Regions from separate parts of the Mus musculus genome. Here all the other regions are reported to be linked to region 1. Evidence: microRNA targets listed by miRTarBase, many of them from high-throughput screens and not tested one by one. Region 1 holds a microRNA gene; each other region holds the end of a gene's coding sequence.

Region 1 (4,578 bases):
CTTTCTGACCAACTTGTAAAAGGTACCCTGCTAATTTTCCTTATTCTGAGGTTTGAAATCAGGACACACAATGATTTCCTCTTCCCTGTAAATTAAGGCAAAAGACAAACTCCATGGTTAAAGCTAAGACTGGTCTCCCCATGCCCTCAACAAGAAAAAGATATTTGGGCCACTTACAGGAAAAAACAAGATACAAGATCATCAGTGCTACAAAATAACTTTATTTAAAAATGCTCATATGTACACCAAATTTTAACACAATTTATTAGCACAAAACAATGAACATTATTCCAAGTCTGTAACCACAATAAACCAGGTACCTCACAATGTTCTATTTTAGCTTACCAGAAAAAAAAAAACAAAACATTGAAACCCTTGTTAACAATCTTCCCATACTTTAAAATTCACAGCACGCACTTCCTGAATAGATCCTAGACAACTAGCAATGTATTATATATCATTTACACAAATAGAAAGGCACACCAATTCTGAGTGCACAGAGCAAAGCAATCTTAGACAAGAATCTGGAATAGGCTATACAAAATAATCTGGAAAACTCCAAGGAGCAGGCATGCTACTAGAACGGCCCTTGCCCAACTGAGCTGTTTCTACTGTTTTAGAGATTCACCTATTCTCTAAAGCCAGACAAACTAGTGTTACCAGTTACAGAACAGAATTGGATGATAAATACAACAAATTTTAGTGAACTGTTCTTTCTCCGGGCAGTTGCAGGTTGCATTGTGTCAGCAATTATGTAGGACTGACTCTTCAAACCATGCACAGGGAAAATCCAGCTGGTTTTCTGTGCTAGGTTTGCCTGTTAAAATGGACATCTTAGAGTTTTTAGTAAAATCAACAGTATATAGTCTCAATAATGCTTCCTTCTTAATATAGGATAAATTTAACTACTTTCATATAACATAAGACATTAGTAACCCACCCCCATTCCTGAAAGCTTATAGCAACTATATGCCCTAGTTACTACAAAATCAAAGTCTAAGAGAGACCACAGCTGTTTTGCCAACAGAGTTTTAGAGCAGACAGTCAGCAAAGCCCCCTGTGCGGAACTGAACAAGTGCGTTGCTGCGTGAAGCCCTTAGTGCAGAAAGCAGCTTAATTAAGGGAGGAGAGAGGAAAATCCTAGGAAAACTCCTCTTCACTACTAGGCCTCTAAGACACACATTCCTTACTAAAATTAAATCTCAATTTAAGTTCAAAACATTCTGAACACAATTACTACCACAAGCTCAGCATCCAAAGGTCCTAATTAAGACCTTATTAATTTTAAACTTCTAATTTAGTATATTGAAGAAAGTACCTGGCAGGCTTCCTATGTTGGAAGATAAACGTAGCATTCAATCCGTAACACTGGTGACAGACCCCTCCCTTTATAGGAGGCACATGGATCATGTGGATCGTGCTGACATTAGAGCTTTATCACGTTTTAAAGGAAGTTTTCATTAGTCATCTGAAACAAGTTTTAATCCAAAAATGTTAAGAATGGAGTCAGAAGTGACTATGTTTCTGTTTTAGTAATAATTGTACAATTCTGGTCACTCACAATCAAACCCAGGCCTGTGGAATCCTTACCTGGCAGCTCAGGGATCCATCAGTCAGCTTCTTGCATTTCTTTTAAAAAAAGCAACATATTATGGAAAACTTTAGCTCTGTAGATAGTGTCAGCTTAAACCTGATTTTAGCAGCTCTTCCTTATTAATTTTACTTTTCTTTAGGTTTCACTCCAATGATTTTTATTCATAGCCTGAAACCAACTGTGCTGCCCAAATGTAGAACTATATATTATATATACTGTTATCCTAAATACTAACTGCAGCTTCTCCAGACCCAGCACTCGAGTGTCATGTGTACCTGTCACTCTACTGACCATCAGTTTGCCATCTTTCCCTTGAGGGGGTCACATGGTAAGAACAGTCCAAGGATAGTTCTTTCTTACAGGGTGTGCACATTAACAGAGTGGCCACCACCTGTTAACTGTTAAGAACTCACGGATTAGGAATAATCTTATCAGAAAACACTCCATCTGAATTGTCACACTTTAATAAACAGAGATCCAAAGAAAGTAACATTTTTCTTAACTCATGTTAATGGGTTTTAGAGTAAAATAAACCTGAAGTCATACCAGGTTCAAAAGGCAGTTTAACTTCACCTAAGCCCCCACACACAACTTCTTACTAAATCCAGCGAGCAAACACGAAAATGAAATGATTCAGTAAAAACAAACCACAATTTAAAAACACAAATTTCAATTAAAAAAATCCCGTTTTACACACCAACGAAAGCAATAGAAATCACAGTTTACAGAATGTGTTCATACACTCCATCAGCTCGTGAACATTTTTACAGTGGAAATCGGCATCTTCAGCAATATTGTCATTTTCACATCTTCTGGTCACAATCCCCACCAAACTCAACAGGCCGGGACAAGTGCAATACCATACAGAGAAACACAGCATTGCGACAAATCCCAACCTGTGTAGAAAGGGGTTTGATTTTCCCTTACTTCTCTACAGACTTTTCACCACCACAGTCAGTTTTGCATGGATTTGCACAGCAGAATATTATACAGCTGGATGCAAACCTGCAAAACTAACCATAGACCAGTGCTCAATAACAGGACAGTTGGCTGGGCGATGGCCAGGCGAGGCTGGAGTTCTACAGCTGGCAGTACTTTAAGTGCTCGTAATGCAGTAGATGGCTACACACTACCTGCACTATAAGCACTTTAGTGCTACAGAAGCTGTCACATCACACACACCACGCAGGCTCTACATCGACACAATAAAAATACAAAATTAGTTTAAAAAAAAACAACACTTGAAGTAAATAGCAGGCCACCATCAGTTTTGCATAGATTTGCACAACTACATTCTTCTTGTAGTGCAACTATGCAAAACTAACAGAGGGCTGCAAACACAACTATGGAGAGACCCCTACATGCTTGCTTGACTTGGATTGGATGAGGACATAACTTCTTATGCCAGAAGGAGCACTTAGGGCAGTAGATGCTAGTCTACTTCACTATCTGCACTAGATGCACCTTAGAACAAAAAGCACGCAGCACCAGCAGGCCCTCCCCGCGACCGACTGACCGACGACTGGACGCAGCCAGTGCCGCCCGAGGCAGCGCCCACTGTGGCTCCCACCGAGGCAGCTGTCAGCATAATGCTACAAGTGCCCTCACTGCAGTAGATGCACACATCACTACCTGCACTGTAAGCACTTTGACATTATTCTGACTGGTCACAGCTTCAGTCCCAAGGTGAGGTTCACTTTATTCCTGCTAAATTTGAAATAAATAATTAGACAAAAAGGAAAAAGCCAAAGCTCTAAATTCTGTCACAAACATCAATTACAGCTTATACCCAAGGGGGGGAGGGGAGGAGCCAATAGCCAGAAGTTCCAAATTGGACACATGTAAGCCTTAAAAAAAAAAAAAAAACTCCTTAAAGAAATATAAGATACAATCCCATTAAAATGTTGGCTTTTACAGTAGGCTTCCCCAAAAAACACACAATAAGGGTCCTACAAAATGAGACCTGTTATCAGGAAGGCAGTCTGACTTGGTACTACCTTTAGAGGAAAGCCTCACATTGACCAGGCAGCAATCCCTTTCTTCTGTCCTCCACATTGTCAGATACTCGACAAGATTAATGATTATTGTTTAGTCATTTTCAAGTTTATTAGTCATAAAACATAAAAAAGTCTTAGTATCACCCCAAATTAGAAATACTCTATGACTCCAACTTGAAGGGTCTACAACTATTTGGTTAGTGTCCAAAAGCCACTGTAGATTTACTACGTTAAAATGTGGCTCACTCATTTATGACAAGAGTTCAAACTGTATTTATTTCATACCTTAAAAGACCAAGAATGTTGTACAAGCTCAAAGACAAAAGTGAAAACCAAAGGTCTCAAAAGAAGTTTTAGCTACAAAACTAGAATATACTCACCCACTCAGGCAAACTTCCTTCTCAGCAAGTATCCTTGGGCAATGCTTCGGGTGCTGCTAGGTCCACGTGTATGACTAGGGTTGGGGGTGGGGTGAAGACAGAGAAAGGGTAAGCACATTTGCTCAAAATTACTACCACTTTCCGAGCCCCATTCCAAGTTGCTCTTCTCTTAATCTTCCTAAGGGGCAATTCTATCCATTTGCCAAAAAAAAAAAAAAAAAAAAAAAAAAAGAGAGAGCCAGGACCACAAGGTCCTGAGGGCAACAATGTATTGGGTGGAAAACGCTGTAACAAAATAAAGTTGAAAACCCACCAAGATTCACATCCGTGCACGAATTAATGTGCCCCTGAAATACTGCAAGATGAGTAGCAGCAAGCCTGAACTCTACTGTCCAGCTCAAGCTAGAGAAAAAGGGCAACCAGGACTAGTCTTCACCACCCCTCCCCCAATCAGGACCTCGTGGCTGCACGCCGGGATAAAGAGTTGTTTCCCCAACTGCTGTGATCCTCGTGGCACGTTGCTCATTTTCTTCCCTCTGGTCACCTAAGAACCACGAGCCCTGCTGCGCTCTCCAGTTTTCTCCCCTCCGCGCCAGCTTATCAAGAG
Region 2 (4,236 bases), not on the chromosome of region 1:
TTCTCTTTCGATCAACAATAAAAAAGCTGGTCTACTACCTCCTCCAACTGACAAGGTCTTTGCCCCCCACTCCATACCAGTGGCCCTTTCTGCTTTTGTAGACAATACAGGTATTCTAAATTAAACACACAAATCTAAAGATCTGAATTTATGCTATGATTCATATATGAGAACACATAGCTCGTGTCTGTATCCAGGTCATGTCCTTTAATATTGTGTCTCCATCCATTTACCTGAAGATTTTATGTTTTGGCAGCTGAACAAAATCCCATTATAAATAAGTACCACATCTTCATTATGCATTCGCCAGCCAAAGGCTATCCAGGCTGCTTCCTTGTCTCTGCTGCTGCCTTCACGAATGAATGACAGGGCACCCGCCTCATCTGTCCCAATGCCGAAGGCTAGCACGGGCATCAGTATCTGCATCTCCTCCTCTTACTTCCATCTGGCTGATGCTTGATCTCTTAAGGCAGGTTTGTAAGGATTAAGTGAAGTAACCCAGACACTAAAACAGTTATCACATGGACCTTAGCATCAACGCAAATCCCCTTCCACTTCCACTCCTCTTACTTCTGGGCCCTCTCTCTTCTCCCTATGGCCTCATTATTCTTTACTGATATGTGGGCGGGAAAGGGTATCCTAGCTTCCCCATTTGAAAACACTCTCATCACAAAATTCCTTTGTAAAGAAAGGCTTTATTGCTAACTTTAGACACCCCGTATATAGCACAAACAAATCCCCTGTACAGAGAATTATTCAAGCAGTAATACTGAGAAACAATGAACATACACAAAAAGATTAAAAAATTAGACATTTAGATTACTAGAAATTTTCCAAGAAAAATTTAAAATGTGAAGTGCTTTTTAGAAACTACACTACACACACCAGTGTAAATTTGGTTTTTATTAACAATCAACTTGAAACGTTGCATCTAAATGTGCACCAGTTACATGCCTTCGTCACTCACTCCCGACACAGAGACAAGTGCCTTTTCTCTCCCTATGCTTTGGGCTTTCCTTGAGCTGCAGCTATAAGCTGCATTATTCCAAACCAGATTTGAACAGGTAGAATGAAATATATACATGTGCATCTAACCACACCCACAAGATTACAGCTCTTCACCCTGCCCACACAGCCTTTCCCCTCTGTCACTTAGATACTACCCCAGGCCTTGAACTGTCCTATCCCCCACCGCCTGAGCCTGCACATCTGTGTCCACTTGGACATACCCACAGGTTTGAAAACTAAGCCTACTTAACGAAGAGTGTCCTGAAGCCAGAAAGGAGAGACAGAGAGACCTAGACTAAGAGAATGTTTACATTTCCAGGAAAATCTTGTGATACACTTGAGCATAACCCTCAACTACTCACTTGTGGCAGCTAGAGTCAAAGCTGTGCGAATGGGTCTATGACATACGGGGTAAAGGCCAAGTTAGAGGGCTGCCAGTGACACCCTGAGACGACTTCCTTCTTCATTTGACCCACAAGCACAAGCCCTCCTGGCCTGAGGTCTCCCTCATCCTAGATCTGCTTGGTCTAGCTACATGCCATCTTCCCACTATATCTAAGCTCAAAGTGAGGAACAATGGGGTAGACAGATAGCCCTGCAAAATTACTCAGAGGCCAAAGAGGCAAGGACTAGGAGAGTCTGGGCAGACCCAGAGCTCTGCCAGATGCTTCGCAGCCGTGCCTTGCCAGTCTCCTGCACTGAGTCACATGTGTAGTTGTTTACTAGATCAGAGAACCTTCAGGGAAAACGAGCGGGGGAAGGATGAAGGACAGAGTTCATCAGAGAAGCCAGAGAAGAGATAGCATCAGGCCTTCCTGAAATAAAGGGAACAACATGAAGCCATGCTTCCAAAGCCACCTATCTATGTGGGAGTACAAGTCCCCTAGGGCAGCTGTGCAGAGACAACCCCCATTGAGGGACACTTTCTTCTCTACAAATGCCTCCATCTTCATTTGACTGCCCACCCAATGTTGGAACATCTTGTCACAGACAGATGGACAGGGTCAGAGACTCGCCGCAGCAGCTGCTAAAAGGAATAGTCAGAGCTTAGTGGGCAGTCTGTAGCTGCCTGGTGTCCTCACTGAGTGTGAGTAATTGCACTTTGGGGCACAGTGAGCACAGGGAGGCTTATGTGGTCTGGGAGAGAGAGGGCAGGCTGACCTAAGGGGTGGGCCCATTAGATAATGGCTGAAAGCCCTGGCAGAACAGCTCCACAACTGAACTCCATGACTCCAGGGAGTAGACAAGGGGATAACAGGACAGAACTTGCTTCCACAAGCCTTCTAGCTAGCCTCCACATGCTTCTGAAAACTAAGCACGGGGCTTCTACTAGGAACTACAAAAGATTCATCTTCGGTTTGCCTCAGTCTCTGGAGAAGACAGGTGAAGCAGCCAAAGCTCAGGGAGATGGACCCTAGGCATTGCCCTGGCCACCTCAAGAGAATCTGAAGACCCTGGAGCCGACAGCAGCCACTTGGAGAGTAGTACACTTCTGCGGTTCCTCTTGTCACATTGTAAGTTGACTATTGCCTGGCACTTTGACAATGGCCTTCAAGAAAAAAAATGTTCAACAAACTTTTTAAAGGGGCAATGGCCACTTAGCAGTAGTGATTTGATTTTGTCTGTCTTGTGAAAATATCGCGCAGGAGGTAACCCCAAGACAGAATAGGTCACATTGGAGCTAAGGACCCTAGTGATCCTGTCAAGTCTGCTTAAGGCAATAAGTGGGTATGAGGCCAGGTCAGTGACACAATGGCGATGCAATTAGCTGACTGCTCACCCAAGACCTCATCCCAGAGCTGGTCTGTTGACCTCCCAGCCCTCAGCAATGACTCCACAGAACTTTGTCAGCACAGGGGACAGCAGAGGTGGATCACAGGAGTGTCCCCAATGTGTACCCACTCCATCTGGAGACATCTGTCAGTCAAAGGAGCGTTTTTTAAATGCTCACCCTGATTCAGATTCATTACATCTCAAAACCCTTTCATTTCAACGCTCACAACAAAGAAATGTATGGGTGAGCTTGTGAGATAGGACTTTTCAGGAAACAGGCTCAAAACCAGAGGAATTACACTCTTAGCATCCATTAATTCCCATGGAGTCTCAGACCTGTCTGTCTTGCTTAAAGTCTGAAGTCTTTTCTGGACATGGAAGGACATCTACTACTCAGAATATATAAGGCAGAAATGGTTTCAGTTCGATTTTGATGCAAAGAGATAACAGGCAATAAAGAGAACATTTCTAAATGTGACACGTGTTTAAACATGTCACTCCCATTAAACACAGGAATTCCAAAATAAAAACTCTCATAAAGTGCTGTTTTCTCAGTGAGTCACACACCAGCAGACACAGCCCAAGGCCTTGTCTGCCCCCCGAGCAAGGTGGTGGCATCAGCTGAGCAAGGCAGGGGCTGCAGGGCTGCTGTCTGGAGGCACTGCTCCCTTGCCACTCCTAGCTCTCGTTAGTGTGAGGGACCCCTCCCAGCAGCAGCAGCCCTCCCGCACCATGCTGCTCTGTCCTCTGGGGACCCTCCATCACCCGCCTCCTCTCCCCATGCTGCTCTGTCTTCTGCTTTAGCTTTTTACTTCCATAATCTATTCAAGACCAGGGGCTGGAACTTAGCCAGCTCCTTGTCATGGATACATGGGGTCTCCCACCTTCCCAGACCACAGAGAAGCCTGGCAGAATGGAACCCAGTGGTACCTGCCCCACAAGAATTCTAGGACATTCACACCAAGGAGGGTTGAGAAAAAGAGAGGCCACTATAAATAGTCACCTGCCCAGTCTATGCTATTAAACGACAGAAAGAAGGAACACAACTGGCAGCAGACAAATTCCTTCAGCTGTTGGTGGACATCAAGGAAATGACACCCTCACATGGTCAGACGTTAATAATTTCTGCTCCAGTGTCTTCAGGCTCTGTGCAAGAAGAATTTGTGGTGGAATGACACATTCCATGTCCTTCTTTATTTTCAAGGGTGGGCTCTGTAAGTGCAGACTTTTCAAAAATATTCTTTTTACTTGTTTCTGGACAGTTCTGAACATAGATCACTCTATTGTAAGCCTTGAGTCTTTTCCATAACTGTAGGTACACCTTGCACTGAACATACATAAAGAGAAGTCCTCCAGTGAAGCCGATGGCCACAACTACCAGCTTCGTCCAGAAAGGCCACTCTAGGATTCCTGCAGGGGAGACTCAGTTAGCTCATCAGGAGGTCTCATGTCAGA
Region 3 (4,236 bases), not on the chromosome of region 1:
TTTTTTTTTTTTAACTTTTTGCCTTTTCTTTACAGGGTTGGTTCTGGACATTACACAGCATATGCAGTTCACGAAGGCCGCTGGTTCCATTTCAATGACAGCACTGTGACAGTGACTGATGAGGAGACCGTTGGGAAGGCAAAGGCCTACATTCTGTTTTATGTGGAGCGTCAGGCCAGAGCTGGAGCAGAAAAACTGTAATACCTCCTGACCATGAGTCATCAACTACACCGGACAACATTTCCATTTTCCATAAATACTTGATCCAAGAGTCAAATTTCAGTATGCACTTTTCAATTTCCAGTTTGGGGTTTAGTTTGGTCAGTGGTAGTGACTTACCCAACATGAGCACCAACTAATTTTTGTTGTTGTTCTACCAGAAAACCTCAGCAGGCATTTTGATTGGCTGCTTTAGTTGTAATAATTCAATTTTTATATGTAGTTTCCAGAACTTAGTTCTGTTTGACTTTTTATATTAATGTTTTCAGTTCTCACCGAGGCACATTTGCATTTGCTCTATACTCACATGCTGAGAGCCACCCTGACTGCTGTCTTCATAGCAGCCAGGTCAGCGACTCCATCGTGAGGATCGTGTGTGCAGGTCTGTGGCCCACCGGTTTCACAGTGACTGCTCAGGAATTCCTTCCGACTGCAGACCAGGCCGTCACCACTGCTGTGTCTCAGGGTTGCTGTGCCTCAGCATTAAATAACTCTGCCAGTCCCGTTGCACCTGTGCTAGAGTTCCAGAACTGCTCCATTTCTTGTCTCTGGTCTTCTTTTAATATTTTCTTGGGGGCAGACAGGCTAGGAACACTGACAAGTGCAAATACGTGTTTAAAAGCCCTGCGATTCAGCTGCATGGTAGAGGTATGTCCTGTGGGTGGATCTGTCTGACCATCAGAGGTGAGGTCTTACCCCCCAGACCTGACTTCCAGGCAGAAGTGGAGTCATAGAAGCTCTGGGTTTTAATTCACTCCCTGCCTGAAGCAGAACCAGGTGAAAGTATATGTCTCTGAACAAGAATAGTTTTTATTAAATTCAGTAGCTTAAAAAATACTGTTCACAGAAATAGGTTAGAAGCACTATTTGGACCATTTAAAGAAGGCAGCTAGTGGCAAATGCTGGAGGCCAGTGATTCGGTTTGCAGGTATTGAAACCTTTAAGTCAGAGTGTACAACTCCAACACAGCCTGTTCCACATCCACCTCCTCGAGGGACAAAATGCACTTCATGCAGACTTTTTACTAATATTTTTTCTATTACAAGTAAGTTTGGTAGCTTTCCTTGTCCAGTGAAGTTGATGGAGACGTGGCTCAATTCCACATTAATATTAGCTACAGAAATCTTCATTCCCTCAGAACAGAAATTACATTCTGGATCAGTACCTTAATACACTAACTTGAATCCCTCAGTACAATGACCGTATGACTAGTGTGTCCTTGGTCACACTAGTTATGTCAGGGCTGGGTACAGGACAGTGCAGGGCAAGTACCTTTCCATAGGGTTCTCTTGCACAACACAGGTCTAAATTTTATGCAGAACAACAAAGCTGTGACATGTGTAAGCACTACAACTTAGATTTAGTGCAGGAAGAGGAAGTGTGCTGAGTTCCATGAGGTAGAGGCATGTGCAGCTCTAGTTCTGCTGGTTTGAGCCACAGATCGAGGGTCGAATGATTTGCTCTAATATATCAGAACTGTGATAACATCACAGCTAAGCCTAAATGAGTCTCATCTAACGTTGCACACAGCTCCCACTAATCCAGGCTCCTCTGGCATTTATATCTTTGCCTCTGACTGGGCAACTGTAATGACTTACACAGTACGCACACAGAGCTGGCACTGTCAAGCCAGGTGGAGCAGCAGCAGCAGACTGGGCCGCTCTGTGGGGAGAGTGGTCATTAGGCAACACTTTGGCATACAAGGGAATGAATCATCTCTGGAATTTTTGTAGCAGCTTTATTGCTTGGTTTTACTTAAGCAGCAATGGCTGAGTGACACCATGAAGACTCTTTGAGAAAGTGACTGCACCCATATGCAGTGCCCATCTGAACACCCATGATGAAGTACATGTGCCTATTTGTTTTAAATCTAGCCTTACTGCACCGGTTACAGGCTTCTCTCTGTACTGTCTAGGGCTTTCCCACGTGTGTTCTAACCTGCATGCAACTTTTGCTCAGAGCGTATGCTGAGGCAGGGCCTCATGCATATCCTGTCCTGTCAGCCCATGGCAACAGGAAACTCCAAGTCCTCCCACACAGGTGGGGATAGAAACAGTTTGTGGCAACACAAGTCTCTCCATGGTGGAGAACTCTAAGCTTATCCACTGTATTCTACTCAGTGTGTAGTGGCAGATGATGTAATTAAACCAGTCATATGCGCTGGCCCTGGTTGAGTGTCGTGTGTCACACCTGTGGTACCTGCTCAGATTTATTTCACTTCTTTGGTTTACTTTATATGTTTAACCCATTGTAACCTCTACCGTCCCCTAAACTCTCTCATGGTCCTCCAACTGCTGAAGTCACCTCTTGCCCAGGCTTTGGAAAGGCTCAGGTAGGAACTGTTTCCAGAGCATGGGTCTTCTGACAGCCCCGAGAAGATGCCACAGCACAGGAAAGAGGAGGCACATGTGTGTGTGACTGTCACCACTGGGCAGTAGCCCTCAAGGGAGTGGTGGCCATGCCAAGATCATTGGCCATTAAGACTTAGTAGTCTGTATGATGCCAAGATGTCATTGTGCACGTTACCATTCATTCTGGCTGCAGACGAATCACATCCTAGTCCCGCCTCACCAGCTGGGCTCTTCTGTGGATTGTTTCCAGGCAGAGCAAGCCGGGCAGTGGTGGCGCTCGCCTTTAGTTCCAGCACTCAGGAGGCAGAGGCAGGCGGATTTCTGAGTTCGAGGCCAGCCTGGTCTACAAAGTGAGTTCCAGGACAGCCAGGGATATACAGAGAAACCCTGTCTCAAAAAGCCAAAAAAAAAAAAAAAAAAAAAAAAGAGGAGGAGGAGAGGAAGGAAGAAGAAATGGCAGAGCAACAGCCATCAGGGGCCAGTCTTGTAGCCTACATGGGCAGGAGGAAAGGGGAGTAGTCATTAAGGGGTTCTGTGGAGTTCTTTCAGGGGAAGCTGTAGTAGTCTTAGGTTTCCACCAAGTTGTATGCACTTAGAGCAGCTTCATACTTCCAGATCTGCAGCACAGCTTCCTAAAAAGCAGGGCAGCTGGGGGCTGTGTGCAAGCATTGAAACCCATCAGACTTGCAGTTCACTTCCAGTTATTTACACTTCAATTAAGTGTTCAAAAATAGAAACTGCCCACCCTCACATATTGGGGAATGCTATCTAGGACAGATAATGAAACTCTGCAAATCACCCACGAAAAAGAACACATGCACCAGTCTGTCTGTCTCACACACACGTGCTAGCTTTTAAAATAACATTTCAGATGAATCTTATGACAGTTTAGGGTAAAAATGGAGCCATTTGGGCCTTGCCATTGGGGTTTAAAGATAGCTCATCTTTGCAAGGTAGCCATTAGTGTCCTGAGCTAAAGTACCAAGCATGATCCTCAGATTCCACTCACAGTTTGGGGCATGGTAAAAATGACCTCTTCCTAGCAAGGGTGAGCAGAGGAGCCGCACCGACACACTCTGATACCTAACAGCTAATACTCACTGTCCTGCTAGGAGAAAGGCTGCAAGCCCAGGAAGGGCTGTTGTCGCTAATTACCTCCAATGAAAACACCTTAGTAAAAGCCAAGAGCCCTGTGCTCAACACTTATCAGCTCAGAGGAAAAGAAATCCCTTTTAAGGAAAACTTGTAACTTCAATGGGCTGCTCTTCTGCCAGGACTTTCAGGCCCTCTGAACATAAGCCGAACCACAGATGGCTTCGAGTAAGTCTGGATCCTGACACCCGCCCTCCCCACCCCGAGCTTCAGCACCAGTTGTTGGCCAAAAATAAACACCATTCCTCAACCATATATGTCCACCAGTCCTGATCTGGGGAGGAAGCAGGAGGCAGGTCAGACCCTTTCTGGGCATTCACGTGCGGCCACCACTCACCATGCACATAACCCAGCTCAATCGGGAGTGTCTGCTGTGTCTCTTCTCCTTCCTGGACAAGGACAGCCGGAGGAGCCTCTCCAGGACTTGCTCCCAGCTCCGAGATGTGTTTGAGGACCCCACCCTCTGGCCCCTGCTGCACTTCCATTCTCTCGCAGAGCTCAAGAAAGACAACTT

The links. The annotated mature microRNA mmu-miR-17-5p reads CAAAGUGCUUACAGUGCAGGUAG and lies in region 1 at 3,223-3,245, opposite strand. An mRNA with a match to its seed (bases 2 to 7 or 8) in the 3' UTR can be bound and repressed. Matches are read on the target gene's strand: a 7mer-m8 pairs with bases 2 to 8, a 7mer-A1 pairs with bases 2 to 7 and ends in A, and an 8mer does both.
Region 2: the mRNA of Marchf8 is a reported target of mmu-miR-17-5p. Seed matches in the 3' UTR shown: 8mer at 3,318-3,325.
Region 3: the mRNA of Usp3 is a reported target of mmu-miR-17-5p. Seed matches in the 3' UTR shown: 7mer-m8 at 287-293.

Annotation. Positions count from the first base shown.
Region 1 is chr14:115,042,351-115,046,928 of GRCm38, reverse strand. It overlaps Mir17 (microRNA 17), which reads right to left and starts at 3,258; the gene lies at 3,175-3,258. Mir18 (microRNA 18) reads right to left here and starts at 3,078; the gene lies at 2,983-3,078. It overlaps Mir19a (microRNA 19a), which reads right to left and starts at 2,929; the gene lies at 2,848-2,929. Mir20a (microRNA 20a) reads right to left here and starts at 2,772; the gene lies at 2,666-2,772. It also overlaps Mir19b-1, Mir17hg and Mir92-1.
Region 2 is chr6:116,405,980-116,410,215 of GRCm38, reverse strand. Marchf8 (membrane associated ring-CH-type finger 8) reads right to left here. Exons shown (of 8, transcript NM_001302383.1): 8 at 676-4,191. The coding sequence ends at 3,890. It overlaps Alox5 (arachidonate 5-lipoxygenase), which reads left to right. Exons shown (of 14, transcript NM_009662.2): 14 at 1-145. Among named protein-coding and RNA genes, the nearest start is that of Gm38880, 5.1 kb to the left of the region's middle.
Region 3 is chr9:66,514,378-66,518,613 of GRCm38, reverse strand. It overlaps Usp3 (ubiquitin specific peptidase 3), which reads left to right. Exons shown (of 15, transcript NM_144937.4): 15 at 36-3,975. The coding sequence ends at 201. It overlaps Fbxl22 (F-box and leucine-rich repeat protein 22), which reads left to right and starts at 4,021. Exons shown (of 2, transcript NM_175206.4): 1 at 4,021-4,236. The coding sequence starts at 4,061.